Linked DNA regions of Yarrowia lipolytica. The protein of the gene in region 2 interacts with the protein of the main gene of each other region in a pairwise test. Links are inferred from orthologs where the notes say so. Each region holds a gene or a part of one and is shown on either strand. Other genes may lie near its edges. The genes, in order: YALI1_E18854g, YALI1_C28963g and YALI1_E34028g.

Region 1 (10,995 bases), on a different chromosome or scaffold from region 2:
ACTCGAATCCGACAACTACATTCCTCACAATTACCAGCCCCTTCCCTCAAAAAGTAGGTTACTCACGACGATCTGCTTATGACGTGGACATTTCAAAATAAGGTTGGTCACGTGCCCTTTTGCCTAGGGTTAATGCAGCCCCAGGTTTTGCAGGTTGAATGCCCCCCACGCTAAAATCCGTCGAAATGGGGGGACGTCAGGTTATGAGTGGTACAAGCAGGAGTTTTCGGAGCTTCCAGGGAACATTTGAGATATAACAATAAGTCATATAAGCCATTCTTAAGCGAAGATGTTGGTGCAGAGGTTTATTTACTCTTATTTCGATATTTTTTTTGAAATATCTGTATATGGACCTTAATTGGGACGTGGTTGGGACAGATTATGACAGTGTCACAGATTATGAGTATTTGACTGCTAGATGAAACGTCAAATTAGCACCTAATTGCCAGTTTGAATATTATAATACCCCCAATCTTTCTTTTTTCTAAGCCATTCCAGACTGGTCATCCCTCCTCTTAACTCATAACCTGAGTGGGACAGGTAGTCTAATTAGGATTTATCACCTTGTCCACATTACCATCATCATCATTGGTCATAACCTCACTCACACGCTCATACACACACAATCATGAGATTAGAAAACTGGCCGATTGTCGAAATGTTCCGGTCGCGGCCCGGCGTGCCCAACTGGCCCAAGTTTGGTCTGTTTGCCGTCGGCGTCATCGGATCGGCATATCTGGGATACCGCTATGCCACTCCTTCCGAAGAAGATATTGTGCGACGAATGAACCCCGAGTTGCGAGAGCGATACATGCTGGAGCGAGATGCTCGGCAGGAGTATTTCAACGAGTTTGTCAAGGAGGCCATTGCCCAGTCCAAGACCAACGAGCCCATCTGGAAGGTTGGGCCCATGGCTTCCAAGCCCATTGATTTCAATGTGGCTGTGCGAGAAAAGATGAAGGAGATCGAGGCTCGAAATGACCAGGATCGAAACGAGCGAATCAAGAACGAGCTGGCTGCCATCGCCAAGAAGGAGGAAGAGGAAAAGAACAAGAAGGGATGGTGGTAGAAGTGGTGATGGTGGAAGGGATGCTCGACCTGTAATGGGTTGGGCTGTCTAAACGTGTAAAAGTGTACATAGCAAGCATAAATAATGAATTAAGCATTGGATTTTTGAATGGAGTCGGTGGTGAGGTTGGACATGGACGTTTTTTTATTTTCATTTTTTTCCTTTTTATTTATTTATCTATTTATTTATTTACTTTTCTACTTTAAATTTACTTAAACACCTACCTAACGTGAAACAGAATTAATTCAATAAAACTCTGCTTGGAAAAGTAAATTAAAAATGAATTAAAATTATGAAAATGTAAAAAAAAAAAAATCCGACTATTAACGTATTAAAAATTGATTTAGAAAATATTAAACAAAGTACACGTTATGAATCACGAGCACTTGTACAAGTACTTCTACTTCTGCTTCTACTTCTACGCTATGTTATCACAATTTATTTATTTTTGCCTGCATCTCACAATCCAACCCTTACCCTTATCACCCTGTACGCGAGATTTAGGTTCAGGCCATCTGACCACCCTCAATATACCGACTTGCACATCAATGGGCCAAACCGAGTCGAAACAGACGTTTCGCACCGAGATTTTCCGGTTGTCGACGGATTCCAGCATTCCTGAATCAGATACCATCTTCTGGAGCAAATTATGGATGGTTCCGGAAAACGCCAGCGACATCTTCACACTGGTGGGCGAGAACGATGTCCGAACGGCGCTCCAGACTTTTCCAGACAATATAGCCACTCTGGTCCGAGTCGTGAGCCAACAGATTATCAATTGCGACGATACAACGCCCGAGCCGCAACTGCTCAATTGCATTCGCGTTCTCACCAGGGTGCTACCAATTGTGTTTGAAAGTGGCACCAAGACGTTTGATGACGATCTCTTCTGGAGCAACGACATTCTGGGCGAGAAGCTGGTGACAAAGCTCGTGTCGCTTTTGTTCAATAAAAAGCTATGCGGCACCTCGCAAATCTGGGAAATGGGAGTGGGTTGTCACAGCGTGGAAGGAGGGGTGACCAGCGCGCAGGAGGGAAATCGCTGCGAGATTCTCAGGTTACTCGTGTGCTGCTCGTGCAAACAGCTGTACACTAGTGTTAACCATGTTACCACGCAGGGCTCCCGGTTTCTCACGTGCATTGTCAGCGGGCTTGGTAAGAGCGACACCCTGTTGCTACTGTGCTCTCTGCTCAACTTGTCGCTGGTGCGGTTGTTGCGCGATGCCAATGCCTTCCAAACAGTCGTGTTTGGGGGCTCTCAGACGGCGTTCTGGGCCCTGGAACTGTTGCTTCTGCTTGTTGTCTACTACCCCCCGGAGCCGGGCGTGAAGAACAACTTCAGATACTTTCTGGGCAAACTCAAGCAGGATGTGGACTTTGAGTTCATTGCAAGACACATTAGCGAGATTCTGGCCAAGTTCTCGGCCTCCTCTGGCTCCATTTTGACTGGCAAGAAGGAAACACGCACCAACGAGATTATCTGTTTGTTATGGGAGATCATTCAGACCAACAAGCGATTCTTGCCGTGGCTTCTAAAGAAGGGGTACCTCGACAACATCATTCTATCGATTCTGCAACAAATCAAAATGTGTGAGAGCACGCAGACTCTGAGGCTGCTCAGTAACTTCCTGCTCTATCTGAGTGATGATGATGTGGTTGTGTCTTCGTTCGACGATGGCACTGTGAATTTCAACTATGTGCTTGGCCAGCTCTTCTCTGTCATCACTCAACCTCGTGAAGAAATCAACCCCATCATCCCCACTCTGGTTGAATGCATCTACAACCTGTCTGTGCAGGCCAAGCATATCGACTACACGGTGTCGTGCCAGCTGGTTGACATTTTCGACGTTCTGTCATCGCCCTCCTTCTTGTTCGCCAACTCCACAAACCGCTTCCTGTTGGAGCTCACCCTGGAGTCCATCAACGCCATGCTTGAATACAACTTTCAGGCCAACAAGTCGCTTGTCTTTGTTCTACAGAAGCGACGGTCGTCATTTGAAAAGCTGCATCGCCTCGTGAAGGAGAAAGGAAAGGAGCCTACAAATGGTGAGGAGGACTTGTCATGGCTAGAAGACCTTCCACTCGACACCATTGACACGGTCTACGCCATGATTGAGTCCTCTGTCCCTGGGTTGAACACATACTCCGCAGTACCACCACCAAGCTCCAGCACAAGCCCTGCTAGCGACGAGCCCAAGACCACTAAAGACACACCCTCCACGATGATCGACACTATAGGCACCCTCAATCCTCCTGTGCAGCCCACAAAGTTCCACAAGATTGAGTTTCAGTGGGACCCAGTGCTTCTTGGCTGGTATCTATCTCTCATTTGGACCAGTCTCTACACCCATGAGGCTCGCGTGGGTCGTCAAGTGACCTCCCTAGCTGACACTGTGGGCACAGGGTACAGTACGGGTGCCGCTGCAGTGGGTGTATGGAACCGAACCCACACCAAGCTGTTCAAGGTGCAGCAGAGTGTTGCAGCTCCTAATCTCGGTGCTGTGGATGCTGTAGCGTTGAACGTGTGGAAGCGGATTACTAACAGGTAGCCAACGACAGTGTTTGCCACAAGAACTGATTATAGATAATGATGAATGATGAACTCACGACAGAACTACTTGCTTGCGCTAAATTACAATCTTTCATAAACTATATATACCCCCATCATTCATAACAACTAGTAACACCAATCCCCCATTACATGTATTGGTCGAGGTCCTTGATGAGCTCATCAATATCCTTGAGATAGTCGAGCGCCTGCGCCGTAAGAACCTGGTGACGAGCCTTGGATTCTTCGTTGTAAAACTCCTGCTTGGATCGGCATCGCAGAGTGTACTGTTTGCCGGTGACCTTCTGAACAGCTTGCTCAAACTCATCGTCTCCTTGGCTAGTCTGGATCTCGGTCAATTGATCTGCGGTCATGCCCATAATCACTTCAGCAGGCTCGTTGAATGCCGTCAGCCACATGCTTCCTGTGGCATCTCCCACGTTGATGGAGAGGATGTATCTGTAAAGAGGTTTATCCATGTTCTTTTCACACTTTTCGCATCGCCACTCGTCACCATGCTCGACCACCTTTTTGTTACAGTCCGGAGTCTGACAAGCAGGGTATGCAAAGTTGCCGGTTCGAACGTGCACGACCCAAGCCTGTAGGGTGTAGTAGTCGGGCTTTTCTGACTGTCCGTAGCTGGATGTGGCGACATCAATGGGTGTGGCGGCCACAGGCTTGTTGGTGGTAGTTGTCTGCAGCTGCTTAAAGCTCGTCTGCTTACCCTCAGAGGCATACCATCCCTTGAGCGCGTAGGTCTCGTCGATGGCTGGTTCCACGGCAATAGTGGAGCTGTGACTGGTGGACAGGTTTCGGCCGTTAAAGTCGCCAACGCGGGCGCCCTTGATGGCGATAATGGTGCCAACAGGAACAGTTCCCTCGTCGAAGGAAGTGGCCTTCTCTCCAAAGAAAGTCAGACGGGTGGCAAATCCACTCTTGTCTCCCAACATGAGGTTTCGTCGCTTATAGGGGTTGCCAGTAGCCTTGGCCACGCCGTCTTCCAGGGGACCAACGTTCTGGACGACACCAAGAACGTCAACATTGTTGCCAACTTCAACATCCTGCAGCTTATCGAGAGTCACAAACGAGTAATTGGCTGTGGGGATAGCAGCGGCCTCGGCCTCGTCCGCCTGGATGATAACCGTGTCTCGGCCAAACACCAGCTCGTAGTCATTGTTCACGTTGGAGAACTTCTTGTTAGCCATGGAGACTCGGCATTGAGTCACGTAGTAAACCTGGCCCTCCTCCAGCATGGGGTAGAACTTATCCACCTCCTGGTTGAAGCCGGTGGCTCGAATTTCGCCCGTCTCGTCGATAAAGGTGACATTGAAGAGCTGGCCCTCTCCCTTGGTGTTGGAGAACTTCTTCTTGTCGGCCTTGGAAGTGACTCGGACCTTGATGGCCCACTTGTTCTGGTAAGGCGAAAGTCGCTCAATGGGCATCACAGTGGCGGGGAATCCCTGGGCCTGGACACCAGCAGGAATCTCGTTGGTAGAAGCCATTCGCTTGGCAGGGGTGGGGTTGCTGGTGGCAGCAGCAGGAGCAGTAGCAGCAGCGCCACCAGGAAGCTCAGCATCCTCTTCGGTATCGAGTCCCAGAGCCGCGTCGGCGTGGCTCAAGAAGTCCATCTGGTGGACGTAGACGACTCCTCGCTGTTTGGCCATGACCAGCTCAAAGTTGCTGAGCTTGACAATGTCGAATTTGCCCGGTCGTTCTTGGGGCAGGTTGTCCAGGTCGCCGAACACCATGCCGGGCTTTTCTCCGTCAAACAGAGTCACCTTGAATCTGTTCTTGCCGGGCAGCTCGCTCATGGGCCGCACAATCTGGAGAATTGGAGCCCGAAACTTTTCAGGCAGCTCATCTCGGCTGGTGGCGTTCTCCACGGCGTCGAAAAATCCGGTCGATAGCTCAAACGTCATCTTGTATCTTGTGGTCTTGTGTGTATGTGTGTGTGTGTTGCTGTGGAGCGTAGAAAACAAGCAGATGAATTTTGGAAAGAACGCGTCGCGCAGGCGTGCACACTCTTAATTAAGTAGGGTAAGAAGCGAACCTTGTCGCGGAGTGGCGGTGGCAAAATTTAGAGAAACAGGAACATGGAGGGGGGGTCAGTGGATATCCTCTTTACTGCCATATTCTGAGCCTCTGCTCCTTCTTTTCCTTCAATTTCTGTACTGGTCCAACCATTTCGAGGTCCATGGTAGCGTCGTCTAGACTACCCCCTAAACAGTATCATACATGCGCATCTTTTATTGTTTACGCGTTCGCATCAAAAACTTTAGGCAGGCTACTGGACGAGCGATGCATACAGTATTTGGAAGATTGAGACTTGAATACGTCTGAAAAAAACACAAAAAGATACGATATTTCCCCTCGAGCTTGGAGATAACTGATTTTCCTGTCCCAATTCCAATCGGTATTCGCCATCACCCCGCATTGAGTTGTTTTCAACTGAAGATCAGTGGTATAGGCTTGTAGTAATAGTCTTGTCCAGACAGTATCGATCCACAGCAGCTCGACCGGAGCAACCAGTTTTGACGACAACAACAGTCGTTATCATTGATGTTCTACAGATAGTACCAGTCCGTTGAGGTTTGGTTTGATAGCTTCTGAATCGTGTGGAGCTGAATTCGCGTGGAGCTCTGAATTATCGTGCGTGTGGTTCGCAATGTCTATAACGAGAAACCAGCAAGTACTTGTACTTGAGTTATATTTTTGTTTTCTTCGTAATTTACAAAGTATTTCTTTTTTTTTCTTTTATTTTTTTTTTTTCTTTTATTTTTTTTATTTCTTTTATTTCTTTTATTTCTTTTATTTCTTTATTTTCTTTTATTTCTTTTACTGTATTTTTATTCCAAAATAAAGTTTAGATGGACGCGAGTGAAATGTAAATTGTCATTCTACCACCAACACGCGTACACTTCAACACAACATCACCACACACCATCACAACACCATCACAACACTATGGGCACCCTCAAGGCTATTGAGCTGTGCAACTTCAAGTCGTACCGTGATACGCACCGTGTGGATCTCGGTGACTCGTCGTTCTCGGCCATCATCGGCCCCAACGGTTCGGGTAAGTCCAACATGATGGACGCCATCTCGTTTGTGCTCGGAGTGCGGTCTTCGCAGCTCCGATCCACCCAGCTCAAGGACCTCATCTACCGAGGCCGAATCATGCGTGGCGAGGAAGTCAGCTCGACCCAGTCTCAGGAAGCCACGTCGGCATACGTTCTGGTGGAGTACGAAAAGTCAAATGGAGACCTACTCAAGCTCAAGCGAACCATCACACCCTCGGGCACGTCTGAGTACCGAATCAACAACAAGGTCACGTCGTCAGGCGAATACAATGCCACCATGAAGAAGGAAAACATTCTGGTCAAGGCCCGAAATTTCCTGGTCTTCCAGGGAGATGTGGAGCAGATTGCCAGTCAGTCGCCTCAAGACTTGTCCAAGCTGATTGAAATCACCTCTGGCTCCATCGATCTCAAGCCCGAATACGACCGTCTCAAGGAGGAGCTAGATGTCCAGACTGAGCGAAGCAACGCAGCCTGGCAGCGACGACGTACCTACAACGCTGAGAAGAAGCACTACGTTGAGCTCAAGGACCGTTACGACGCGTACACCGCCAAGGCCGCAGAGCGAGACGAGGCCGTTGTGAAGCAGCAGCTGTGGAGACTGTGGCAGGCCCAAAAAATCGAAGATGAGGCCCGAGACCAGATTGAAGGTGGAGACGCTGCTATCCAGAACGCCGAGGGGGCTGTTCAGGAGGCTGCTCAGGAGGTGGAAAACGTGGCTGCCAAATATGCCAGCGACAAGAAGCGGCTGCTCAAGCAGGAGCGTTCGGCAAAGAAGCGAGCAGACGTCATTCTGGAGCACAAGCAGCAGCTCGTGCCTGTGGCTGAACGTATTGCTGTGGTGTCCGGCAACATTTCGCGTCACGAGGCTCGGTACGGCACTGTCGAGGCTGACTTACTTCGACACCAGGACGAAGTCAAGCAGACTCGAGGCTCTCTCAAGATGGTTCAGGATGCCTCCAGTGAGTTTGAACGAGATCTGTCATCGAAGCAGAAGGAGTCAGGCGGAGTTATTCGAACTGATGAGGACGCGGCCGAGTATAGCACGCTGAAAAATGAGGTGCACAAGCGGTCGCTGGCTGAGCAGGCTGAGATTGAGACGGTGAAGCGAAAACTCAGACCTGTTCTGGACCATAAGCGAGCTCTGGAGCAGGCACAGGAGGACTCGGAACTCAAGGTCAAGGAGTTTAAAAGCGAGTTTGGCGTCTACCAGACCCAACTGAAGGAAGCTGAGGAGGTACTCAAGACCCACCAGTCTGCTCTGAGAACTCAGAGTGAGTCTCTGGCTCGGGTTGTGGACGAACAGACTACCCGACGACGTGTCGAGCTGGAGCTTGGCGACAAGCTGGGTGTTGTGGCTAACCGTCTGATTGAGCTAAATGCGGTCAAGCGACAGACTGAGCGAGAACGACGACTTAAAGAGACTGTTGCCAACCTGAAGCATGTTTTCTCGGCACAGAAGGTCCACGGTCTCGTCTACGACCTGTGCAAGCCCAAGGAGAAGCGACACGATCTTGCTGTGGAGACCATTCTCGGTAAGGACATTGATTCCATTGTTGTGGACAGTTTCAAAACTGCACAGGACTGTATTGCATACCTCAAGGAGCAGCAGGGCGGTCTTGCCTCGTTCATTCCCCTCGATACTATCAAGGCCATGCCTGTCAACTCGTCGTTGCGGTCGCGTCTTCGTGGGGCTGTACTTGCCATTGATGCCATTTCCTTTTCGTCTCAGTACGAACGGGCTTTCCAGTACGTTTGTGGCTCGGCCATTGTGTGTGACGACCTTAAGGAGGCTAAACGCCTTGGATGGAGCCTGAATGTCAAGGCTGTGACCACCGATGGCTCCGTGATTCACAAGGCTGGTCTTATGACTGGTGGTACTACCCAGAAGGGCCACCATGGCGGCAAGCGAGCATCCAAATGGGACGAGTCTGAGGTTACAAAGCTCCAGGCAGAGAAGGATGCTCTGGTTTTGGAGCTACAGACTGTTGGTCGGCAAAAGTTTGACCCCGAGCGTCAGGATACACTGCAGCGTGAGGTTGACAAGGTGCGACAGGAAGTGTCTGCTGCCCAGAAGCATGTTGCCAGCCTGAAGGACCGTCTCAAGGATATCAATTCGCAGCTCAAGTACTACAGCGAGGAGGCTGCCAAGAGCAAGAAGCAGATTGCCAGCACCGCCAGTGATCTCGAAAAGCTCGAGACACAGAAGGCCACCATTCAACAACGCCTTGACGAAGTCTGGTACACCGTGTTCTCGTCTTATTGCACTCGTGTCGGCGTGACTGTTGAGGACGTGTTTGCATATGAACAGACCCATGGCTCTCTCTCCGCTGGTGCCGAGCGAAAGCGGCTCGCATTCTCTCAGCAGATTGCTACTCTCGAGTCACAGCTCAAGTTTGGCTCCAAGCGTGTGGACGAGTGCAAGGGGCGACTGGCCAAGATTCGACAGTCTATCGATGATGACAAGGCAGCTGTGGATGGCTGGGAGGCCGATGAGGCCCAGCTGAGAGAGGACATTGGTATTCTGGAAGAAAAGGCTCGAGCTGAGGCAAAGCAGGTTCAGAAGCTCACAGCTGCCGTTCAGAACGCGTCAACTGAGTCCAACGCTGCCAAGGAGCATCTTTCCCGAGCTCAGGGCGTGGTCGATAACCTGCGACGAAAGCTTGCCCAGTCTGAGACCGAGCTTGAGACTGCTGCTACTCAGCGGTACGAGGTTCTGCGAGAGTGCAAGATTGAGGGCATTGAGCTTCCTCTGGTGTCAGGTGATCTCGAGTCTGTGCCTCTGGTTGAGGGAGACGACTCGCAAATGGATATCGATATTGAGGTTGACTTCTCGTCGCTTCCCCAGGGCATTCGAAGACTTGCCGACGATTCTACTCTTGTTTCCAAGATCAAGGCTCTGCAGGCTGAACTGGAGCGAATCAACCCCAACCTGAAGGCCGTGTCTCGACTCGAGCAAGTGGAGGCCGAGGGTGCTAGCATCGAAGCTGAGTCCAAGAGAGAACGTGAGGCACTCCAGGAGCTGCAGGCCCAATTCAGAGAGGTGCGAGACGCTCGATGCGATAAGTTCAATGCTGCCTTCGAGCACATTTCCGGAGTCATTGACGCTACGTACAAGGAGCTCACTCGTTCTGATGCGTTTCCTCTGGGAGGTTCGGCTACTCTGACTGTCGAAGATGAGCATGAGCCTTACCTTGAGGGAATCAAGTACCACGCCATGCCCCCCATGAAACGATTTCGAGAAATGGAGCTTCTCTCTGGAGGAGAGAAGACTATGGCTGCTTTGGCCCTACTTTTCTCCATCCACTCTTTCCACCCGTCGCCCTTCTTTGTGCTTGATGAGATTGATGCTGCTCTGGATAATGCCAACGTGCAACGAGTCGCCAACTACATTCGGAAGCATGCTGGCAGCAAGTGTCAGTTCATTGTGATTTCTCTCAAGCGGGGTCTGTATACTCATGGAGAGTGTTTAGTTGGTATCTACCGAGATCAGGAGGTGAACTCGTCCAAGATTCTTACTATGGATTTGAGATCGTATCCCGATACTTAGGCTGATGTAGGATTGGATTGGAATGAGTTTTTATTGATGAATTATATATATATTATTGGTGTTATTCGGATACCTACAAAACTGTAGAGTGAGGTGACGTGTCATGGCATGATCTGGCATAATCTGAGCACGTCCGAATCTGCTTCATCAGTCGTTTGTAGTTTAATTCGATTTTTTGATATATTTTCCAGTATTTAGCAATAATTCAGGCCGAATTCCGGTACCCATCTCAGCATCGCCATATTAGCTTTGCATGGTCTCCCCCCTTACATAATGGGCTGCGCGATATTGCATATGCACTAACAGTCGGAACACGTAAATTGTTCTTGTACACGACAAGATGAGTGACTTGAAATTCTTCACCAAGGTGAGTATTTGGGGTGGTCGCGCTTTGCGGGCGCGTCTTGGAGGTTATGCTAACTCAGGGAAAAGCTGCGGAATTGAGAACGGAGCTGCAGGCAGCCAAAGGTCCGAAAAATGTCGGAAAGAAGAAGGCGGTGCTGAAGAAGATCGTGGCCAACATGACCATGAGCAACAATGAGATGATTGTCTTATTCGAGGACATTATCGACATGATCCGATCGTCCAACGATCTGGACGTGAAGAAGATGTGTTTCCTCTATCTCATCACATACTGCAAGGCTAAACCTGAGCTGGCCACGGGAGCGCTGGACCCTCTTCTGGACGATGCTGGATCCCGGGAGTCGCCCTTGATTCGGGCCCTGGCCCTCAAAACACTTTCCTCTATTCC
Region 2 (11,977 bases):
ATATTCTCAACCAGCTTCGAATGCGACACGCCAAGGGTGACACCTGGGCCGGCGTTGATTTCAGAGACGACAACGGTGGCGTCACCGACAACATGAAGACGTACGTGTGGGAGCCTGCTCTTGTCAAGATCAATGCTCTGCAGTCGGCCACTGAGGCTGCCTGTTTGGTGCTGTCTGTGGACGAGACCGTCAAGAACGAGGAAAACGCGCCTCCTCAGGCCGGCGCCATGCCCCCCAGCATGGGCGGCGGAGGCCGAGGCCAGGGATTCCCCATGTAATTATTGGACGCGACGATTGGATATAAAATAAAATAGACTGTATGGAGTATGAACGTGGGTGGGGTGTGTGCCGTATATGGGACTACAATGTATGAACTTCCTGTAGCTGGTTGACATTATTGAAGCTACTTGTACTCGAAGTGAGATTGGACAAACCCGTGAGATTGATGTGGTATCTATAATCCACCATTAGTTGGTACTGTACTCCTATAATGCCAATTCCATTATCCTTATGTCTTTGTTAGTATGTACTGTTGTATCGCGCCGTGATACTTGATTATGCGGTTGTTAAAAGGAGAGGATTTGTATTCTCCCCGTTAGATAGTCCTCGGCGTCCATATCGAAAGACTGAACCACCTGGAGAGGCCATTCCACCAGGTAGTGGTATTCCAGTGGCAGCTCATCCACAATTGTGTACAGGTCTTCGACAGCCCGGTCTCTCCACCACGAAAAGCCGTGGAAAGAATGCACATATGCGCACCAGTAGCAGAGCATGATGAGGGCAAAGGGGTTCCTCTCCTGTTGCAGCTCTCGGAAAGAGTATGGCCAGTATATGGGCCACGAGGTCATGTGTGTGATGCAGCCTCCCTTAATGTCCATGTTGTAGAACTTAATGAGAGTGTGTAGGGCCTTGTGCATGATCAGGCGTTCTTCTCGGGTTTCGGCCATTTCTATTGTTTCCCACAAGTCCCGTTCTCGAGGCAGATATTGCCGTTCCGGGATGTCCAGAATGGGATAGGGACTTTCTCCCTCGTTGGTCAAGCTGAGTCCGGTGATAGTTTCGTGGACTGCCCGGATGCTTCTAGACAGGCCAATGAGATCCCCCTGGCCAGGAATGTAGTTGATGAGGGGAACTAGAGGCCCCATTGCTAGAGCGGTGATGTAGAGTAGGGTTCCACTTAGCATCATGTCTCCATAGTTGGACATGTCGCCTAGTTGCATGTTTTCCAGGTTTTTGTGAAAGCCCTTCAACAGGGCCGTGAACATGACCAAAGAGCGCGCCTGGAACTCTTCACTGGGCGGAACGTAGCCAGTTATGAGCTTTTTGGACTCCAGCGGTTTGCTGGTCGGGTGTGGCTCGTCGTCAACGAGGTACTTGGCGGGTGCTCTTCTTTGAGCCAGGTCCATGGCTGCCAATAACAAACATGCCTTTTTGATGGTGGGGTTGCATCCGACTCTGGAGGGGGTAGTTTGGATCCAAATTTTGTCTCGTGCGTCGTTTGCCGAGAGAATGTCGACTATGGAGTGGTGGTAAAAGAAGTTGAGCAGTTCGAGATCTGTGAGATCTACGCCGATGAGCCGGGCCATCGAGGTTCGTCGCAGACGCGGCTTCTGCGTTCGCAGGACGTGGCCTGTAGGGCCGACAATCTCCTCTCCAACGGTCTCGAATTCGTCGTCACTGTCGTCTTCCAGCACTCGTTTGGGGCGGAAAAGTGCTAGCATTGGCGTGGGACTGGAGGAGCTGGATATGTGCCGTCTGGATGGGGGTTGATGGTTAGATGAAGAGGAACCAGGGGTCCAAGGTCCAAAGGAGACTAATAATTATCGAATGTGGGTTGGTGAAGATGATGGTAGGGAGTTGGAAAGGACTGGGTTGTTTGCAGTGACCTGACAGACACTCGATGTATGTATCCATTGTCTTGTCGGCTATTATACAAGCTTGAGATGCATGCCGCTGCATAAACCAGGGCTTGAAACCCCTGTGGCACTGACCGAGGCCAGACAAAGATGTGACCGTCGCTCCCCCGAATGGCCGACAGAGTTAAATAGAGCGGCTCTAAAGCTATACGAGGAACGAAGGTTAGCATTCCTTGGCGAGATAAACGAGTAATATCGTCATTTTTAGCGAGATGTTTATGAGCCGTGACAGCGGCATCTAACATAGACAGCTGTCTTGTTTGCTACTTTTCTTTGTGCTCATGCCTGTCACCTCGCTCGCTAACTCGCTTGACCCTGCAGAAAAAAGTCACTACAAGTAGCGCCCGTTTGCTGAACCATGCATTCGCACAAATGAGAGAGGCGAGAAAGGAAGACACCGCGGAAACTCGCATATGACGCCGTTGTCTATGTAGATCTTGGCCATCAGCGCTGAGCAGAGAGAAAAAGAAACATTCAAAAGCCGTGGGGTATACCGTGTTTGGCTGAACCAACTGGGCCAAACAAAGTTGACACTAGTGACTGTTAGTGCGATGTCACGTCTAGTAGAATAGCCCCTAAGCATCATATCATCTCCCGACGTGACACACCCCGAACATCCGGGTGGGGACTCGGTCCTTCTTGTCCCGTTTTCTTTGCTGTTGAAGTTTTTGAGGACCCACACCGCGCGACTGAACCCTACTGTGTGTACCGGTTGTGCGTTTGCAACGTACTCCCGGGAAAGGATTACCGAAGACTTCAACTATGAAAGACCATGTATAGCATCGACTGCTATCTCTTGCGACTCGCCATCTCCTATCATTCGTGTCCCGTTTTCGTCCGAGAAGCAGTCGAAACAACCGGGTGTCACATCTGTCTCCTTTCGCTTCTACACTTAAGCGAATCTCGCCAATTTTTGCCACAACGTTAAATGCACAAGGAACAAAAGCCCGAGGAACCTAATTTTCTAGCTTCATGTATCCATTTATGCATCTCCCTGTCATGTTTACAAGTACAGTTGTAGTACAGGCCACAAGAACGAGTCCCGACTACGAATACCTCAGTTATAACCAGAGTCGTCATTAGGGAGTGTATAAATTATTTATGGATCGATTCTAACTGGTTGGTCCAATTCACCCGCTTCACACAGGTTCTTTTATCTTCGGAACTGCGAGACCGGCTGCGAGACCGAACCCCGTCAATGTAGTCGTCACGGCGTCTCTCCCGACTGCGACCCCGCTTAGACAGCCCATCGGTATTCAACGCCTCTGCATGATCACGGTAAACGCCGAGAAACCCTGGATGGCGAAACAGCTCTTTCTGCATGGCATAGAGGAACAAAGACGCCGACTTGTCATCTGCAAAAACCACCCTCCAGATGTTCTTTGTGTCGTCAGGCTTGACAATCTTTTCGCTCGGAGTGCCATGGAGATGTGCAACCTGAGCCATCTCGGCATTTGTGACGTAGCTGGTAGTCTCAATCATCACAGCCGGCTGTACCGTTTCGTCGTCTTGGACGACGGCGAGCTTTTCGGCCACATCAGGGTCCTCTGCGCAGATGATGGGTTTAGGCTTGATCCTTTCACCACTTCTCGACCGAGATCTAGAGTGATCCCATACAGTCCTCTCCTGGGAAATAACCTCGTAGCCTGTGGAAAAGACCTTCTGGGCCTCCCCCCGGGTCTGGTCCTTCTGATATAGATCCACCTCTGTGGCATGGAGCTGCTCGTTGTAGTCAGCTACGTTTTCTTCGAGCTTGTGATGGTTGTGGGTCCGCGATAGTGATTCCTTTTCGACCAGGGAATTGGTCAGCTCCCCGGTATCCTCTTTGTGGTGTACTGTCACCTTGGCCACCTGTCCGTCGGGTTCCACAGTGGCCTTGGTCGTTTCTTGGTGATATCGCTGCGTGATCTCACTGGGCTGGCCCGTCACGTCGGGAAAGGTGTCGTGGACCTTGAGCTCGATGTTCACCGTCCCATTGTTGCACGTTTCCGTTTTCTCCACCATGCGGATGGCCTGCGATTTACCCCCACGGCCTCCGATGATTTCCGACTCGAGGGTCGTCTTGGACGCGCGGTCCAAGGAGCTGTCTTTTGGGGCGTGCTTTCCCTCGTGTTCACCGGTCTCCAGAATGCGGTCCACGCTGTCCTTTATCGCTTCGCTCCATTCCATATGGGAGGGGTTTGTCGTCGAGTGTGGTCTGAGTTTCCAGGCGACGTTTGGGGGGTCCGAAACAGTTGATTGAAGTTTGATCAAGTCTAAATCTAAAAAATGGGAGTCAAAAATTTCAGTCTCTGAGACAACTTGTGCATGGCTTCCGGAAAACAGAATTCGACACTGTCCAAAACAGAGCTTTATCTCTCAATCCATGCGTCATCTGAGCGACATTGCGGCGATATTTTTCTGAAACCGTGCGTAATCAGAAAGCTCTGGGCAGCAGATATGCATGGCCGATGAGACCAGTCGAGGAGCAGAAGGTAACCTTGCATAGAAATGTGCTAACGACCCCCCAAAGGGGGAAATCTAGTGTGCTCTTATAATACCTCAATATATGTTTTACATGTTCTACAGATATGGCGAGTCACCTCCCCATGGCTGCGTTGGAATACCCTCATCGTCTTAGAGTTGGAAGACCCGAAGATCGCCGTCTTTCGAGTCTATTGTCATGCAAGAAGAATTGAACGCCTCCTTACAAAAATGTCGTGTGATACAATACCAAGTATGACCAATAAATATTCGTGTATATACATACTTGTGCTTTCGTCTCTATCATTACTTGTCTCCAGGCTTGGCCAGAGCTTCGTCCAATCTATCGAAGAATTCATCGTCAAACGACGACGAGTCGATAGATTCCGCCAGTTGTGGTGCAGGTGTCATTTTGACAGGTGCCAGTGGTATTCCAGAAGATGGTTGAGACTGTCTCTGTTCCACAGGTACCGCCTGGGTCTGTACTGAACCTGTAGTCGTCTGTACCTCATTGGTAGTCCCCTGTGTACCCTCACTAATCGACTGGCCTCCTCCAGACTTACTACTGTTCAGAACATCCTCCAGCTCCTTATCGAAATCATCATCACCGATGAACTCTTCCAGGCTCATATCTTGCTCCCGTTCATCGTCCAATTCCACCAAGTCATGCAAATGTTGAGGAACCTCTTCCTGCTCTAGCTCCTCCTCAATGTCTTCTGCCAGGCTATCATGAGACCGGTTGCCCAAGGCCTCATCGAGATCTGCTTCGAGTTCATCAACATCGACTTTGGTACGCTTCGTAGGTGGGGTAGGGCTGTTAGGTATGTCTTGGCTGCTCTGACCATTACTGGACTGGCTGCTTCTCATGGCCATCTCCTTAGCGGTCATGAACCCCAAAGTCGCATTCTCTGGCATCTTCAACACCTTCTTCTTCCTCTTCTGAGGCACAATGAAGTGGCCGTTCTTGTCTTTCCTCAGACGCAGCTCCTTGTCACCTTTGGCGACCACATCCGCGAGCTCCAGATGATCCTTGTCGGTTTTGTCTAGAATCTCCTGGTTCTCACCTGGTAAGATAACTTGCTTCATGAAATGGGGAGGAGGAGGATCGGTAGCGGCACCGGGAATTACACGATTCGGAGGGTAAAGCTTTACACGAGACCCCTTTTCCATCAAACGCTGAATGTAGCTGTAGTTATCACGCGACTTGATATTGTTCTCCATCTCCTTATCGGTCATCAGAAGCACTACCCGACCGTCTCGGGAACGTCCTGTTCGTCCCATCCGCTGCAGAGACGTAATAGGTGAAGCGTTGGAGTCGTAGCAGATGATGAGATCAACCTGTCCGATATCGAGACCTTCTTCAGCGATGGAAGTAGCCACCAGAGTATTGTAGACGCCCTTTCGGAACTTGGAAATAACCTCTTGTTGTTTCTTTTGGGTCATTCCCCGTCCACCTCCCTCTTCACGTGAAGGAGCCTGGCCAATGAACTCATGTGGCTTGACCTGTGGGAATTTGGTCAGATACTCCATGATCACATTCACAGTACTTCTGAAGCGCGCGAAAATGATGCATGTACCTGTGTTAGCTCCCTCGGGAGCCTTGCTGAAAAACTCGTTCAACTCCGATCCGAGATAGTTCAACTTAGGATGAGCCAGGTATCCTTCTTTTTTCATGATCGTCTTGGTGGCATCTAAAATTGAGCCAATATCCCCTACCTGTTCGTATGACTTTGTAGGCTGTTTTCGAGCCATTTCCTCGTCGTGTCGTCGCTTCAGGGTGTCGTAGAACTGCGTGATTCCCTGGTGTTGCAACAGCTGGGTAGCATGGGCTATGGAGGCTACTACAGCTCCAATACCTCGGTACTTGTACTGGGCAGCAGGTCCGAGATATTTGGTTCGAAACATGTACCGTTCTATCTCCTTCTTGACGCCAAACAGTGAGATTTTTGCAATGTCTGTGTTATGCAGCACCCCCTTCGAGGCCATCATAGACAAGGTAGGTTTGAGTACCTGCCCAGTCAGAGCCAACAACTCATTAATATCGCTTCCCAGATCGACGTTGATCTTGACCTCTTCTCGATTGTGCATGTACTGCTGCACATCTGGATCCTGTTCTCCCTTGACTTCCAAGTGACTAATTAGAAGATGTTGCACGACAGACTGCACCCCTTCAACCTTGGAAGCTGGAGTGGCTGTGAGGCCAAGAACACGGAAGCTTTGGTGTGCATCCAGCAGCTTCTTGACCACTATTCCGTACGAGTATTTGCCACTGGTGTGATGTGCCTCGTCGACAACCAACAAGGAAACCGTCTTTGGGTCCAAGATCTCACCATCGAGATCGAGCTCCACAACCTGAGGAGTGGCGAAAAACACACGTTTGTTAGCCCACTCATGTGCTCTATCAGCCTGTTTAACTCCTCCCATCAGCACACTGCAGTCGTGCCTCGGGATACCAGTGATTCGAAGACAGGCATCGATTTGCTGTGAAACGAGGGGCTTTGTTGGCGCCATGAAAATGATCTTTGCATCTTTAAACCATCGGTAAAAGTTGAGCATGACCACAGACGCAATGAAGGTCTTACCTAGACCGGTGGGAAGAGAGCAGAGAGTATTCTCAATCAGACAAGATTGAATGATGGTATGCTGGTAAGTTCGGAACGGCAGATTTGAGGGGTACAGAAAAGATCCGGTGAGACCCGTCGTCTCATGGTGACAGGCTGTGTCCATTGGTCGAGGGTATGTCAGGTTCAGATCAATGTCTGGTGTATTTGTAGATTCTGCCGGATCAGCATTGTACCTGGGTAGCTGAGTTCGTTGTGGTCCAGAAGGTTGCTGTCGCGGCGGTTGCTGTCCCAGCGGCTGTTGTCGAGCCGGTGTTGGTTGTTGTTGAGCAGTTGATGGCTTGTGAACAGCTGTTTGTTCCTTTGTCACTGGTTTCGCTGGTCTGGGTTAGTATTGAATCGTTCTGAAAAGCGTTTCGAACACTCACTCTTTTACCACTGTGGAGAAGTCGAAATCGTCGAGATCGTCGAGATCGTCGAGATCCGAGTCGTCCAGGAGTGCTGGAGCCTTGTTCTTGGGCAGCGCATCGAATTCGCTGTCGCTCAGGTCATCCAGCAGCATATGTTTGGTGAGTGTTGATTTTGCCACTGTCGCCGCGAAACGCGTACTCGTAATTAACACCCCTGCTTAAAGTTTGGCCTTCAGGTACGTGTTGATTCTTGTACAAGAACAGCATGGTAACTACAAGTATCGGTGGGCGGTATTTGGAGGTGGAGATTGCGTTTTACGAATCTACTGTACAATTACTTGTTCAGTGATTTGAATGGACGCACTTCTCACTCTTCAAACTATGTCTGAGTCCATCACCGACAGTGCATGAGTGGATTCATATTGGGCAGCCCAAACAGTGAGGGCATATCAACAGACACGATGATGGCACTTGAAGAGCTCTACAATCATGTTTCACATTCATTCTGGTATTCGCATCTAACAATGCGAGAAGCAAAATCGCGGTTCAAATCGGACCCAATTCAGGGGTCAGATAAGTTAGCCATACTTCTTTAGAACTGCCTCCATTGGAAGCCACGAAGAGGCTTGCCAACGACCGTGATGATTATGGATGAGCGAACGAGGAAACGAGTGAGCTCGGAAAGAAGCATCTGCGAGCCTTCACGAGAAGAGTGGAGAGAGGCTTGCTAGGAGACACTGAAGTGGACCGACGTTAGGAGGTACACGGATGGGTCGACGCTGTGGACTTGCGAAGAGAATGGAAGCGAGTACACTGGTGATCAGTTGGAATGCTAATGATAACTGGGAACCCTCGGAGGAGATAATGGAGCCAGGACGATGAATCTGTGGAACTGAGCATGAAGAGTTCGGCTTGAGCAATGAGGCGACGAAAGTTGGTGAGTGAGATCACGATCCACTGAGGAGGAGATCTGTGAAAGCCTGGATGTACTGGACGTGATTCGAAGAAGCAAGTACTGAGTAACGCCGAGACAAGTGGTATTTGACGAGGGCGCTGAGGAGACAATCTCGCGCCAGAATACTTACGACAGAGGGGTGATCCCACAGGGAGCCCGATAACAGCTTATTATTGAAGCTTGAGATTAGCAGAGCCAGGAGCGCAGTATTGAGACTAGCAGCCTTGGATAGAGATAGCGACAAAGCGAAAGTGCATTCGACGGAGACAGTTACGGAGTGATCACTGAAGCGGACGCAAAGAGTAAGATGCAGAGTGTGAACGATTGGCTGATCAGATATTGCTGAAAACCTGAAGCAAACAGTGGAAAGCGGAGATTGCAGAAAGCTTGAAGCAAACAGATGGTGGAAAGCAGATTGAAATTTTTGGAGATTTTGGGGACTAGAGATGATGCTGAAGAGTACACGAACAATGTGAACGAGTATTACGTGTCACAGTATTGATGATGCTGTTTGTGGCGTTGATTGAGATCTTGGGAAAGATGAGAATCAAGTGAAAGATATGTGGATTCTATGAGTGGCCAAGCGACGAGCGCTAAGTAAGACCAATGAAATGTTGGATTCGACTTCCATGATGTTTGAGATATTGCCGTGAGCGGTTGAACTCGAATGGTTGGAGTTCGTATCACTGGGATTGGTTATGTGGATTATGGGTTGAATTATGACCCGTGACTCGTATGATCCATGAAGGACGTGGACGTCTCTTAAGGAGGGGAGAGTGTAACTGCACCAGACTTGATGAGCTTCCCTTTGGAGCAGTTCGACCGATCATGAAGACCAACAATTGACAATATTCTCCAATCACTTAGAACCCGTCAACGTATGGCAACGCATGGCAACATCTATGGTATACCACCAACACATTGACCAAGTCCCATAAATCGTTGAGAAGCCGATTTGGGGTCTCCCTCACTTCATTTTGAAGACAACTTCACATTCTAATTAGTCACTGGAACTGACAGGCGAAATCATTGGGAAATGGGGAACCACGCAACTCACTAGACTCACTAAAACTCACTTAAACCAACAAGTAATAGTCAGTATCCTGAGTGTAATGACGGCTAACTCTTCCTTCTCTATCACCACTGCTGTACTACAGCATCATCTACAGCATCTACAACTGAAATACAACACTACGAGTCAAATATGCGGGTGGGACTCTGAGGTCCATGACGAACCCAAGAGGTTCGGATTTTCACTTATTCCTCTGAAAAACTAAATAAATAGATCAGGTTCGGTCGGCTACATCCTCTGGCTGAGAGAGGTTCACTGCCTATTCCTTTGTGTGACTCCTGGCTGGCCTCGGCTCTTTGGCCCTGGCTCCTTAGCTCTCGTCTGTTCCGGCATGTGGCACTTATCTGTTGTCTCATAGGCTTTTTCTCAGGAGAATAGCGCTCTTATTGCTCTTTGGACTCTGCTCTTGCTGCCGTTCAGGACTAGTGGGTTGGTGTTAGCTCAAAACTGCATATGGCTCTTACTGCCTTGACTCACCGGCTGGGTGTTCTTGTCTCCGCTATACCGGATTTACCCTGGCTCTGTGGATCTGGTAAATGCTCTCATTGCTTCTTAGTGGCTTGCACTTCGGCGGCTCTGGCATTCGCTACGACTCTGGCTTTCAGCTCTGGACTTCGGACTTATCGTGGGACTTATGGATCTGACCCAGACATCTCTTGCGCTTTTGACCATATATGGCGTCTGTCAAAGCAGATATTTGCTCTAGCAATGTGTTTCAGCTCAGCGTTCCAGCTTGCTCCTCAGCGCTGGCAGCTCTGGATTTTCAGCTTGGCTATTCGTTCTAGGCGGCTCTCTCACGCAGGAATTGCACCATATGAGACCTTCACAAAGGAATTTCACCCTGTGAGTATGGAGTATCTCGAACACGAGTTTCACCTGTGAGAATGATGGGAGTCTCTCAAATGGAATTTCACCCTTGAGTATCTCACTGTCGGTGGCGCGGGCTTAATGGCTCTGGCTCAATGCTCCGGCGGCAGCTCATGCGGTCCTCAGGAACTCTCACAAGGCACGAATTGCTCTGACACTTTTCAGCCGGCACAATCACTCGTTTTCAGCCCATGGCGGTCAACCGGACACGAAGGTCACGGACTTGAAGACACTTGGCTTAGGCAGATGTATGTACTGGCCTCTGTGTCGAACTCGCTGACTTCTCAGCTTAAACGCCCAACCAGAAGCTGTCGCACGCACTAGGCTCATGCGATTAAGCGTCATTGCCTTCTTAACCGACATTTGGGATTCTGTAATCTCACCACATTGCCCAGTCACAACTCAAACGGACGACAAACAATGAAAATGTCCTCGTTGTGGACAGATCTCTATTAGCTGTCTTGTAGACACAGCTCCGCGTCTCAGCAGGCTATAAAGGGCAACTTCCGTTTTCAGAATGACACAGAATGAACTGGACTGATTCTGATGGAAAAGTGAGGGACTGGAGGGGGTTTATATTCTTGACCACGCCCAATATAGTCCAAAAGAAATGGCTGGTGTTGAAAATATGCATATACGATGCATGACATATGCAATATATATGCATGAAAAATTAGAGCCAGCCCAGAACCTGCATGACAAAGAATGTGTGGAAGGGAATGGAGGATGGATGTTTGTCCAGATTGATGGAAAGATTGTAAACTGGACCAAAAATACGTAGAATCACATATAAATGGCCAGTGAATCTGAATATTGTATTATGCAACATCAAAATTTCTCGGGGGAACAATGAATATGTCCTTCTCTAAAATTTCCAGTCGATTTTGCGTTTTGGTCGAGCTTAAAAATACGACAACCTTAAATCAAAATATTTGAAAGAAAACGTGCAACGACAGAATGTTGCATTGCATGTTACCCCGAGAAAAAGACTAGCCCCAAAGCCAGCAAATTTACTGAGAAAATGATGCTAGGATAAACAATCAAACGATAGAGAGGACGGTTATGTAAATGTGTTTGCGGCCTCAGAGAGACGAAAGATTGAGAACCTTAAATGTGGAGAAAATACATGAACATACTGTAGGCGGTCCGAGGTGGCAAAAAGGGATATCAACCGCTTGGTGTGACGAGAAAAAGAATTGCAGCACCTAGGATTCTCGTATGGTCTCCCACTACAATACTAACTAGGCTCTCTGGTGCTTGACTATGGCTGATCGGACGGGAAGCCGTATTTTCACCAGGATATGGCCGCAACTGTCAACTTTGGGTGTTGGATGTATATACTGGAACTAATATGTCACGTGAAGGTGAAAAATTCACTTTATATCCGTTCTAAAAGAAGAATCGCGGAAACCGCGAGCACAATTGCTCTATGCTTTTCTGAAAATTAGAATCCGAGTCCGATGTGGATTTAGCATTGTTTATAGGTCTTGAAAAAGTAACTGAGATGTATTTCCCCAGAACCAAGAAGAAAGCTGAGAATGGGTCGGTTCTGAGCATAAGAGGCTAGCGTAGGTGGTGAAAACCAGTCAGAATTATGTTGACATGGATGTTTAAGGAACGGCTACTTCGTGTGGATGTTAATATTGTATTGTACATACTGTATATAGATGTGCGTAAGCACAACAGAGACTTCTTACAGACGGGACACCGACTAACACTGTCCCTATGCCATT
Region 3 (9,269 bases), on a different chromosome or scaffold from region 2:
AGATATTCAAACGCCGAGTTGAGCAGCTCATGTTTCTTCTTGATGCTAGCAATAGTGTCGTCGTAGTACGAGTTAGTCTGGGCCTGGATCAGAGCCTGTGCGGAGGCTTCCTGGAGAGGAGAATTGACACAGAAACAGATTCGGGTGTGAGCAGCAGCGACGTACTTAATCAGATCAGGGTTTCCGATCAGCCAGCCGACTCGCCATCCGGTAGCAGCAAAAATCTTTCCGGCAGATCCAACAGTGAGAGTCAGACGAGCAAGAGCCTCGTTAAGAGTAGCAATTCGGGTGAATGGCTCAAAGTATAGACGATCGTAGACCTCGTCGGATAGCACAATGAGGTTGTGTTTGACGGCAAGCTCACCAATCTGGGTCAGCTCCTCCTTGCTGAAGACCTTACCAGTGGGGTTCTGAGGGGTGTTCACAACAATCATCTTGGTCTTGGGGGTGATGGCAGCTTCGAACTCCGCGATGTCCAAGGACCAATTGGCGGCAGAGGAGGTATGCTGAGAATCCTTGGGGGGGTGGAGGGGAACATAGACGACCTTTCCACCAGGAAGCTCAATGTTGGAGATGTACTGATCGAAGAAGGGCTCGAAAACAATGACTTCATCGCCCGGGTTCAGGAAGGCGGTGAAGGCGGCGTACATGCCCTCATTGGCACCGGCAGTAATGACAATCTCGGAGGCAGGATCAAGAGTTCGTCCAAAGTAAGGAGAGTAAGCGTCAGAGACAGCCTTAAGAAGAGAAGGTCGACCACGTGTAGGAGAGTACTGATTCAGCGCAGGTACATCAAGAGCCTTCTTAGCAGCATCAATGGCAAACTGAGGAGGCGAGTAGGAAAAAAAGCCCTGGCCAAGGTTGACCACCTTCTTTCCGGAAGCCTCTTCGGAAGCAGCAGCAGCCTCGTTGATGAGAGACCACACGTCCTTAGGAGTCTGAGCGAATCGTGCGGGCTTGGGAAGTGGCTGGAGAGTCATGGAAGAATAGAACCTGATGGAGGATGTGTTGTGGACAACTCGACGAAGAAGCATGGACGGGAAGAAAGTTGACACGCCAATCGGGTCTCTTTATTATTGGGTGGGGGTTGGGTCTATATGCATGCATGATAAGGTAACGAAATGTCACGTGCCGTTGTAGGAAGACGGGGTGGGACTTATCAGAAGAAGGCACGTGGTCAGCCACACTAAAGGGAGCCACGGGCACGCGTGGCATTTGTGTAGGCCATATGGGCGACCAATCAGAAGCTTGTATTTTTCATATCAGAAAATCTCCAAAATGACCAGTTCCACGCAGACACTCACCTGCCATGTACGGGTACAACGTACCCCACACAGAAACATACGTCAACCTCATACTTATGGCATGACTCATGGTTCCAGACCCCTCATTGATACCAATTTAATACATACTGTACAGTAAGTAGTAAAGACACCTACAAGTAGGCACATCTAAAAACTTGCTCCAGTTTAGCACACGCACGTTTTTAATTCACATATCACCTTATCGCCCAAAAATCCACTTTGGGAATTGTGTTTTTTTTTTTTTTTTTTTTTTTTTTTAATTCTAATGATTCATTACAGCTATATACCTATAAGTAGTAAGCCGGGTTATTGGCGTTCAATAAATCATACACTTAGTAATCGTTTCGATGTGCGTTGCGAGGCACGTGCCAGTTGGTTCGTCGTCGCTTCATCTTATTCTTGTCCTTGTCGTGGTCTCGTGGTAGTGAATCAGGGTTAGGGTTAAGTGTCTCACGGTACCTTGGCCATGTTTTTTCCAAACGCAACTTCCAGGGCGTCTGGTGTAGTTGGTTATCACATGCGCTTAGCATGCGCGAGGTCCCCGGTTCGATTCCGGTGTCGTCCACTTTTTTGTCTCCTTATCAAGAGGGAGCTCATTTTTGCACTCACATTTCTTCTCACATCACTGCTGCGTGTTTAAACGAGGTTACTGTAACATTGGAGTGGGGCTACAGTATGTACTGTACTGTAAGTGCTATGATATGTGTGGTGTTACGATAAAGCAGGTCCCAGTCAAAGAGGAGAACGCGCATCGAGTTTGTTTCGAGGCACACTGTCGTTCTTGACAGGTATCAGTGTAACTGTAGACATAAGGGTTCTATGGACTCAATGCATGGATGGTCACTAACGACTTTTCCTCAACCAGTTCCACTCATTAACACCCATACCCTACACGCCCCGGTACAGTATGTACTTGAACTTGTACTTGTATGTACATACTGTACGATATGTACTTGTACCGGTACAATGTGGAAGGACGATGTACAAGCGATGTACCAGTAGTTAGACAACCAGCTCTCTGCAGCTGGATCAAATAATAATAGTTAGATCATGTTCACATTACAAGTACAGTGCATACTATACAACAGAAATCAGAAGCTCTAAAGCTTTGGCTTCGCAGGGTTGAACAAACTCTCATGGGTCTCTCTCAGAGCCCAGAGATCCTTCACTCTGTCCGCCACCTTACCCTGTTTCCCCTTCTGTTTCAATTGGAGAGCCTTATCGATGACTCCACATGCAGGAATGACAAATGCCATGTCTGGCACGATCACTCCATTGTCAACCTTTCCATTGCTTGCCATAATACCAACGAGTTCTCCAGTTCTCGAGTCGAAGACCCCACCACCTGAAGAACCATTCCAGCAGTGAGCTGTGCTACAGAGCATAGCGTTGTCTTTGCTTGGTTTTCCTTCCAGGGACATCTTCACTGCTGAAGCGATATGACCTCGAGAATACAAGGGCTGAATGGGCCGGAGAGGGGCAGTGGGGTACATGAGACCGAATCCATACGACTCGACCGGCTGGCCACGGTATGCAGGGGTCTTGCTGAGTCTAGAAGGGAAGAAAATAGGCGGAGCTGGGGTTCGTAGAGTCAAGAACACCAGGTCCACACCAGGAAGAGGAGCTTGGTCAACGAAAGCTTCAGAGTTATGGGTCTTATCAAACCATACCGTCACAGACTGATAATCATCTCCCGGGACATGCTGATTGGTGACCACTGTCGTTCTGTTGATCAATACACCTGAACCCCAGCCTCTCCTACCTCCAGCTAGAGATACAGTAATGGCGCAGACCCCGTTGAAAGAAGCGGGGGTCATTGGTGACTCAACCGAGACAGTCTTTGACATTCTCAGCTTGTATTTGTCGTCCTTCTTCTCTAGGGTGTCCATCAGTTCCTGCCAGGGCACAATCACAGTCAATGTACCTTCTCCTCCAGCCTTTGACAGGCATCCTACAACCATGCCGATTAGTTTTCCATGCGTATCCGTCACAACGCCACCCTCCATACCTTCGAGAAACCGGATATCGCTGAAAATCACCGACGCCTTGGTCTGAGGACGTCCAAAGTTGGCTGTGTATCCCAAGTAAGAGGCGTTACCTCGCACAGTGTAAGCCATGAACACCGCCGGATTGACCAACACAAATGGCGAGCACTGCACTTCCAAGTGCACCTTTGAAATGTCCGCGGTGGCGAGTTGTTCACACTTCTTGCCCCGTCTAGGCAACTTTCCAAGGGGCTTAATCACAATAACCGACGGAAGCTCGGCCTTGGACCCCTCCCATCTTGTTCCAATACTCTTGGAATCCTCCGCAGTGGGCTTGAAGTTGAACCCGCCACTTGTGTACTGTTGTAGCACCTGGTTCACATCGGCCAGAGGCACGACGGCCTGTAATTCACCGCGTACCCATTCGAGGTGCTCCGATTTGAGTCCTCCCTCAGACGCAACAAGTAGTCTAGCATGAGCCTTGAGTCCATATTCTCCCTTATCATCACTCAAGTTGGCAAGGTCACAACTGGAACACAGAATCAGCTCCTGTTCGGGCTTGTTTTTGTTCCACAGATGGATGGCTGAAGAGCCATGATTTCTGAGAACTTTCTTGCCCTCGGGGTCCTGTTTCCACGAGGAGCCTGCCGACAGAATATCTAGTCGAATAGCTGCATTTTGGTACTCCCACATGTTGTGTCGTGTGCAGTGGGATGGAGAGATGGGTTATGCGGGGTATGGTGAATCATATGCAGCCGAGGTGATAAGCCGAGTGCGTGGGTTCGACTTTGCCCAAAGTCAAGTAGCAGATGTGAAGCAGGATGTATGAATAATATGGACTCGATTGATAGGTCAGCCAGAAGTGTTGGCAATTTCTCTTTGTAGCACTTTTTAGAGAGCTAATGAGGCTATTTTTTCTGCATATACATTCTATTAAAAGTCACAAGGATCTACTGTAACTACGAAGTAGTCATGCATTCACATTCTAAGAAGCTTACTTGGACATGCTTTACATATTTACGAGAAGGCTGGTATTGTAGTGTAGATATGTGTCTCTCAGTATCGTGTACAGTATTTTTACACTATACAGACCACCTTCGAGATGGTATACTCCACCTACGAGATGGTTTACTATCGTACACCTGCTAGACTTGTAGTATGCACCAATATTAGTACACTTGTTCTCGTACCACTCGTATCCACATCTTGAAAGCTTTCATAATGTTAAATTTGAAGCTACACGCTTTACGCCCATCCTCTCAATCATCGTATCCATTGGGCCATCTCCAATGTGACACCCCTCGGAACGATTTACAACGCCACCCATTCGCCGTCTTCTTTTCAACGCCAAACTAAAGTTCCCGTGTGTCTGCCCGACCCGAACCTTTTCAGACAAACCTTTCCCGAACGGGCGATATTAAAGGTCTTTGGAAGTCTGTTTTCGAAGCTGATAGACAGCCACCTCCAATACTTGTTGTTCATATAGATGTAGAGTACAGAATAATTGTATTAGAATCAACCAGAAACTTCAGCTACACAAACCCACTCTGCCCTCCTGAATATATATTTTACGTCTCTGCAGCAATGCAGCAAGTTTTTCCTTGAATTCTCGTCGCACTCATTTGAGGCACGTTGTTGTACCTCGTCGCCAGGGTTAGGGTAAACACGTCCGAAGTCCCACACATCTATACTATAATTCCTAAACACGCACCACACCACCGTCTTCCCTACACAACACAATGTTCCGATTCACTCGAAAATTCACCACCTCTGCTGCTGCCCGAGACGCCTTCAAGGTCACTCTCCATGGCCGTATCGCGAAGGCCCCCGAGACCCTGACCTCCGCTGCTGGCAACCCCTACATCAAATACACCGTTGCTATCAACGACTTCCGAGAGGATCGACCCGCTTCTTTCATCTCCGTCACCTCTTTTGAGGATCGAGCCGCCCAATTCCTCAGCGTTCTCAAGACCGGAACCCCCGTCATGGTCACTGGAAACGCTACCTACCAGTACCCCCCCAACTCCGAGATGGGAGATGGAAAGTACCCCTACCTTAGCGTCACTCAGAGTAAGTATCACAGAATCCGTTACAAATGGTGCATCCGAAGCAATTGACTAACACAGCCTCCATCGACGTCATCTCCGGCAAGAAGCGAGACGAGACCGTTGAGTAGATGTATTAATATTGTACCAGCTGCTTGCAGCGCTTATTGTAACGACACAAAGAGGCTTGTAGAATGCGTACTGAAACATTCCATTGGCGTGACTGGGTATTATGTGGGAGTTCCACCGAGATACTTGAGTATACTGTAGTACAGTAACAAGGACTGCTGAAGATGAATCATACCGCGGTACAGCGCATCCTAAAATAAACACGCAATTATACAGGTTTCTATAATGGATTATTGTGGGTGTAGAAATGATACCTCACATGTCTCCTTCTCACTTCACATCATTACCCCAAATTAACATCTTTCCGAGATTCAAGGCTATCGCGAACACTCCTGCGCCGCGGACATACTCGTCTCGGGCAAGGAAGTGCGTTGTGATGGGCCAGCAGTGAATCTGACGCAGCTCCCCATCAATCTTGATGGGTCCACATAGCCGAAGGACCCCATAAAGCTCTTCTATCTCGTTGGCGAACATCTCCTCTGTGCCATAAATGAGATACATACCCTTTTCAGGGAAGGACTCTTTCCACCATGACAGAGATGTGACACACGAGAGGTCAAAGTATGGCGACGTCTCCTTGGCTCGAGCAATGTAGTAGTTTCTATACCTGCGCAAATGGAATGCTGAAAAGTAGCAGTTTTCTGTCTCCTCACGCATGCTAGTTTTCCAGTTGGGCCACGGGCTCAATAGCAGAGCTGCCTGTGGTTTCACGTTCGTCAAACACTCAGTGACACCAAGACAGGGTCGTGTGAGATGCAGTAATAGAGATAGAGCTAGGTTCGCACCACTACCGTCACCGGCAAACACAAAGTTGGCCGCTGGGTGTTCCTTTTGGAGGTAGTTCCACGCGACTGCCGCCTCATCGAGTTGATGTGGGAACGGGTGCTCGGGGGCGTAGCTGTGCTTGAGCATAAAGATGGCAGGGGATCGGAAGCCCTGCATATGTAATGATGTGACTAGCGCTGTCATGAACTCCAGATACATGTAAGGTGAGTGTGTGACCATCCCACCTCCATGCATCCAAAAGAGCACAATGTCGTAGTTTGGAACTCGTCCTTCAGAACGCACCCACAGCCCTGGAATAATCGGGTCGTTTTCGAATCGCACGTCGCCCATGTCGATTGCTCCCGAACGGAACCGGCGAAACCTGTAGAACCACATCCACGCCGTTCGTCCAAACAAGATACGGCCTGCTGTGGTCTGCTCCAAGCTGAACATCCAGCGAGCAAGCAACATGCCTGTGTACTCAGAGAAATGTGAGCGTTGGCAAAATCCTGGTTTGTGTTCGTATGTGTACAGAATGCGTACCTTGACGAGGTGCCAGGGCACTGTCAATACTGTGTTAGAGGAGGGTAGTGGGTATCAATCAAACAAATCAAGTCGTACTCCATATGGTCAGGTGAAAGACCATCACCAAGAAATTGAGCACCTTGCCGGTACTCAGCATCGCCGTGCTGACGGCCGCAAAATAGAATATCCGGTCTCTGTTGGAAGTAACCGGCATCTTGTGGTGATATATGAGAAGAAGATGATATATGAAAAGAAGATTAAGATGGCACAGACACTTTCGTGATAACGAGTTAGAGTTGCCCAGAGAGGGCGATGTGATTTTTCGGACGGCGGGACAGATATATTAGTGGTGTAATGGGTAAAAAAACCACATAAAAGGCGATGCTGTCTGTGTGAATAAAAAATACTCACTTTATCAACACAAAACTATGCAACCCCCAGCCCCAGTATGTAGCGCTACAAGTTGCTAGTTTACCAGAGCCCAACCCCTCATCGCCTAAGGTGTGGTTTAAACGGAGTGTGCTGCAAAGTGGACACCATTCATTCAGTCATTGAAGATTTCTGATGGAAATCCGGTCACGTGACATTTGGGTCTCAACATGTTTCACCATGAACAAAATTCGTCAGTTGCTGCCATATATCCTGGTGAAAACAGGAGGAATTGAGGAGAAGAGCACAGGAGAATCCGACTAATACACGCTACTACACGACAGTAACGCAGAAGGATGTTTTATACATTTCAGCTACTTTTTTTTTTTTTTTTTAATCTACTTGTAGGGGTAACTGATAAATTGATTTTTTATGTTTTATTCTAATGTTTTATTCTAATGATCCATGCTCGTAACATAATGCATGTTCATGAATTAAAAAGAAATAATGGCTCCCCGTTTGATCAACCATAGTAAAGCACCAGAGAGTCCGTTAATATTGCCATACGAGAATCCTGGGTACTGCAATTTTTTTCCTTCAGGGTTTCTCGTATCTTTTGCCGCTGTTTCTCTCTGCTGACGCTCCGTCCCTAACCTGTGTTGATTATTCCTGTCTCAGATGAGGAACTCCAAGGTGTGATTTTCGGATCAGATGACACTGACTGGTCTCCGATAAGCATTGAACGTCAAGCTTAATTCTGCAACAAAGATTGGTGAACTCATTCTTTGATCGTGAAGATTCACGAATGGGCCATCCATTTCAGCCCAGTTACCTACAGGTACAGTATGTACTTGTACCGGTAAGTAGCATGGCATCCGATTCGCATGAGGACACAAAAATGAGCCAACTCCATACATTCTGAAGGCTAAAGATCTATTACCGATACAAGAGTTGATTACCAATGTATCACCGGAGCAGTTATCTGGAAAATAGCTTGAAGCCACACCATTACCATATATTATGCCTCAGTATTCTCCGTAGATTTTTCCCTACAAGTAGCTACGCTGGCGCATAAAGTTCGAGATATATGCAAGAGTTAAGGCCGGTAGCGATGGCTTGTATGTGCTCAAAGATGTCACTAGAGGGTTGTGGAGAGACCCTATATCGTTACTATTAACAATACTGTTAACTTTCCAACGTTTCAACTAATTCCCCACAACATCTGTTACCGAGTATCCTCGTCTGTCGGTGGTAAGCCTTCCCCCTGCACCTCCAAGTAGATGAGCCACTCGCATATATCATGCGCGTTTTTTAGCCCTTGATAATATTTTAGAACTTAAATGGGCTCGGCATGATGATATGTATAGACTCCTCATCAAAGTCAGACCAGTTCACTCTGAGTCGTTCGGGCAGGCAAATGACGTGTTATCGCAGGAGCCCATATCGATCAAGAAAGAGATTCACGCTGTAACGCAACGAAAAAACACATGCACGAGCCTGAGAGAATGTGATAGCTTCTGACTGGAAGCTGGAGCTGAGAAATCGGCGTTCAACACAGTCGGCTAGACCTCCTTTGTAGAAAATAAATAAATCCATCCAAGTTCACCACAATGAGATGAAAAATATACCATGAGCAAATGTACTAATAGAGCAAAGCACAAGATGTCATCATCTACGTTTAAAATATTCAAATAATAAATAATGCATTAGCTAGTATAGCTGAGATCTCATTAGAAGAAGACATCGTCGAGAGTAGTCACCTGGCAACCCTGAAAATAATGCTGCTCCAAGTACCGCCCAATCCAGGGATTTTGAGAAGCGAGGAAATTGAGCCGAGGTAGAAGCACAGGGTGATACATGATAGTGCTGGCAAGGCACTGGATGACAGAGTCATAAGGACTGGCCATGTTGTCTGCCGTAATAAAATGCAGAGAAATTTTATCAGTGGAGTTTCCCACTCCTCGAGTCCATTTGCCACTGTTCTCATGAAACTTTTCTAGAGTGGCGTCTACGTCTCTGTCCATTTGCCGTGTTAGTGCGGATGAGATGCTAGTTGCTGAGTGAGGTACTCCTAAGATGTCCAAGAGCACCGAAGTCGAATCTTCCGAAGGGATGAGAGAGGTGAGATGAAGAAATTCAGCAAGGTA

The links.
Region 1: the proteins of YALI1_C28963g (region 2) and YALI1_E18854g interact in a two-hybrid assay, tested with the Saccharomyces cerevisiae proteins (2 studies listed by BioGRID). The link is inferred for Yarrowia lipolytica from reciprocal best matches to the Saccharomyces cerevisiae genes MPH1 and RFA1.
Region 3: the proteins of YALI1_C28963g (region 2) and YALI1_E34028g interact in a two-hybrid assay, tested with the Saccharomyces cerevisiae proteins (2 studies listed by BioGRID, with this or other methods). The link is inferred for Yarrowia lipolytica from reciprocal best matches to the Saccharomyces cerevisiae genes MPH1 and RIM1.

What each region holds. Positions count from the first base shown.
Region 1 is NC_090774.1:1,879,940-1,890,934, reverse strand, and holds YALI1_E18854g (uncharacterized protein), read right to left. Parts: upstream 5,537-10,995; coding exon 3,767-5,536; downstream 1-3,766. Other genes in the region: YALI1_E18903g (uncharacterized protein), read left to right, coding at 629-1,069; YALI1_E18895g (uncharacterized protein), read left to right, coding at 1,441-3,618; YALI1_E18843g (uncharacterized protein), read left to right, coding at 6,582-10,244; YALI1_E18802g (uncharacterized protein), read left to right, coding at 10,585-10,611, 10,670-10,995. UniProt on the Saccharomyces cerevisiae protein: As part of the replication protein A (RPA/RP-A), a single-stranded DNA-binding heterotrimeric complex, may play an essential role in DNA replication, recombination and repair.
Region 2 is NC_090772.1:2,891,850-2,903,826, reverse strand, and holds YALI1_C28963g (uncharacterized protein), read right to left. Parts: upstream 7,503-11,977; coding exon 7,369-7,502; intron 7,324-7,368; coding exon 4,686-7,323; downstream 1-4,685. Other genes in the region: YALI1_C29052g (uncharacterized protein), read left to right, coding at 1-278; YALI1_C29021g (uncharacterized protein), read right to left, coding at 567-1,721; YALI1_C28997g (uncharacterized protein), read right to left, coding at 3,012-4,085. UniProt on the Saccharomyces cerevisiae protein: ATP-dependent DNA helicase involved in DNA damage repair by homologous recombination and in genome maintenance. Capable of unwinding D-loops. Plays a role in limiting crossover recombinants during mitotic DNA double-strand break (DSB) repair.
Region 3 is NC_090774.1:3,398,956-3,408,224, reverse strand, and holds YALI1_E34028g (uncharacterized protein), read left to right. Parts: upstream 1-5,028; coding exon 5,029-5,359; intron 5,360-5,415; coding exon 5,416-5,465; downstream 5,466-9,269. Other genes in the region: YALI1_E34072g (uncharacterized protein), read right to left, coding at 1-1,034; YALI1_E34042g (uncharacterized protein), read right to left, coding at 2,405-3,982; YALI1_E34015g (uncharacterized protein), read right to left, coding at 5,734-6,699; YALI1_E33943g (uncharacterized protein), read right to left, coding at 8,853-9,269. UniProt on the Saccharomyces cerevisiae protein: This protein binds preferentially and cooperatively to single-stranded DNA (ssDNS). Involved in mitochondrial DNA replication. Stimulates PIF1 helicase activity.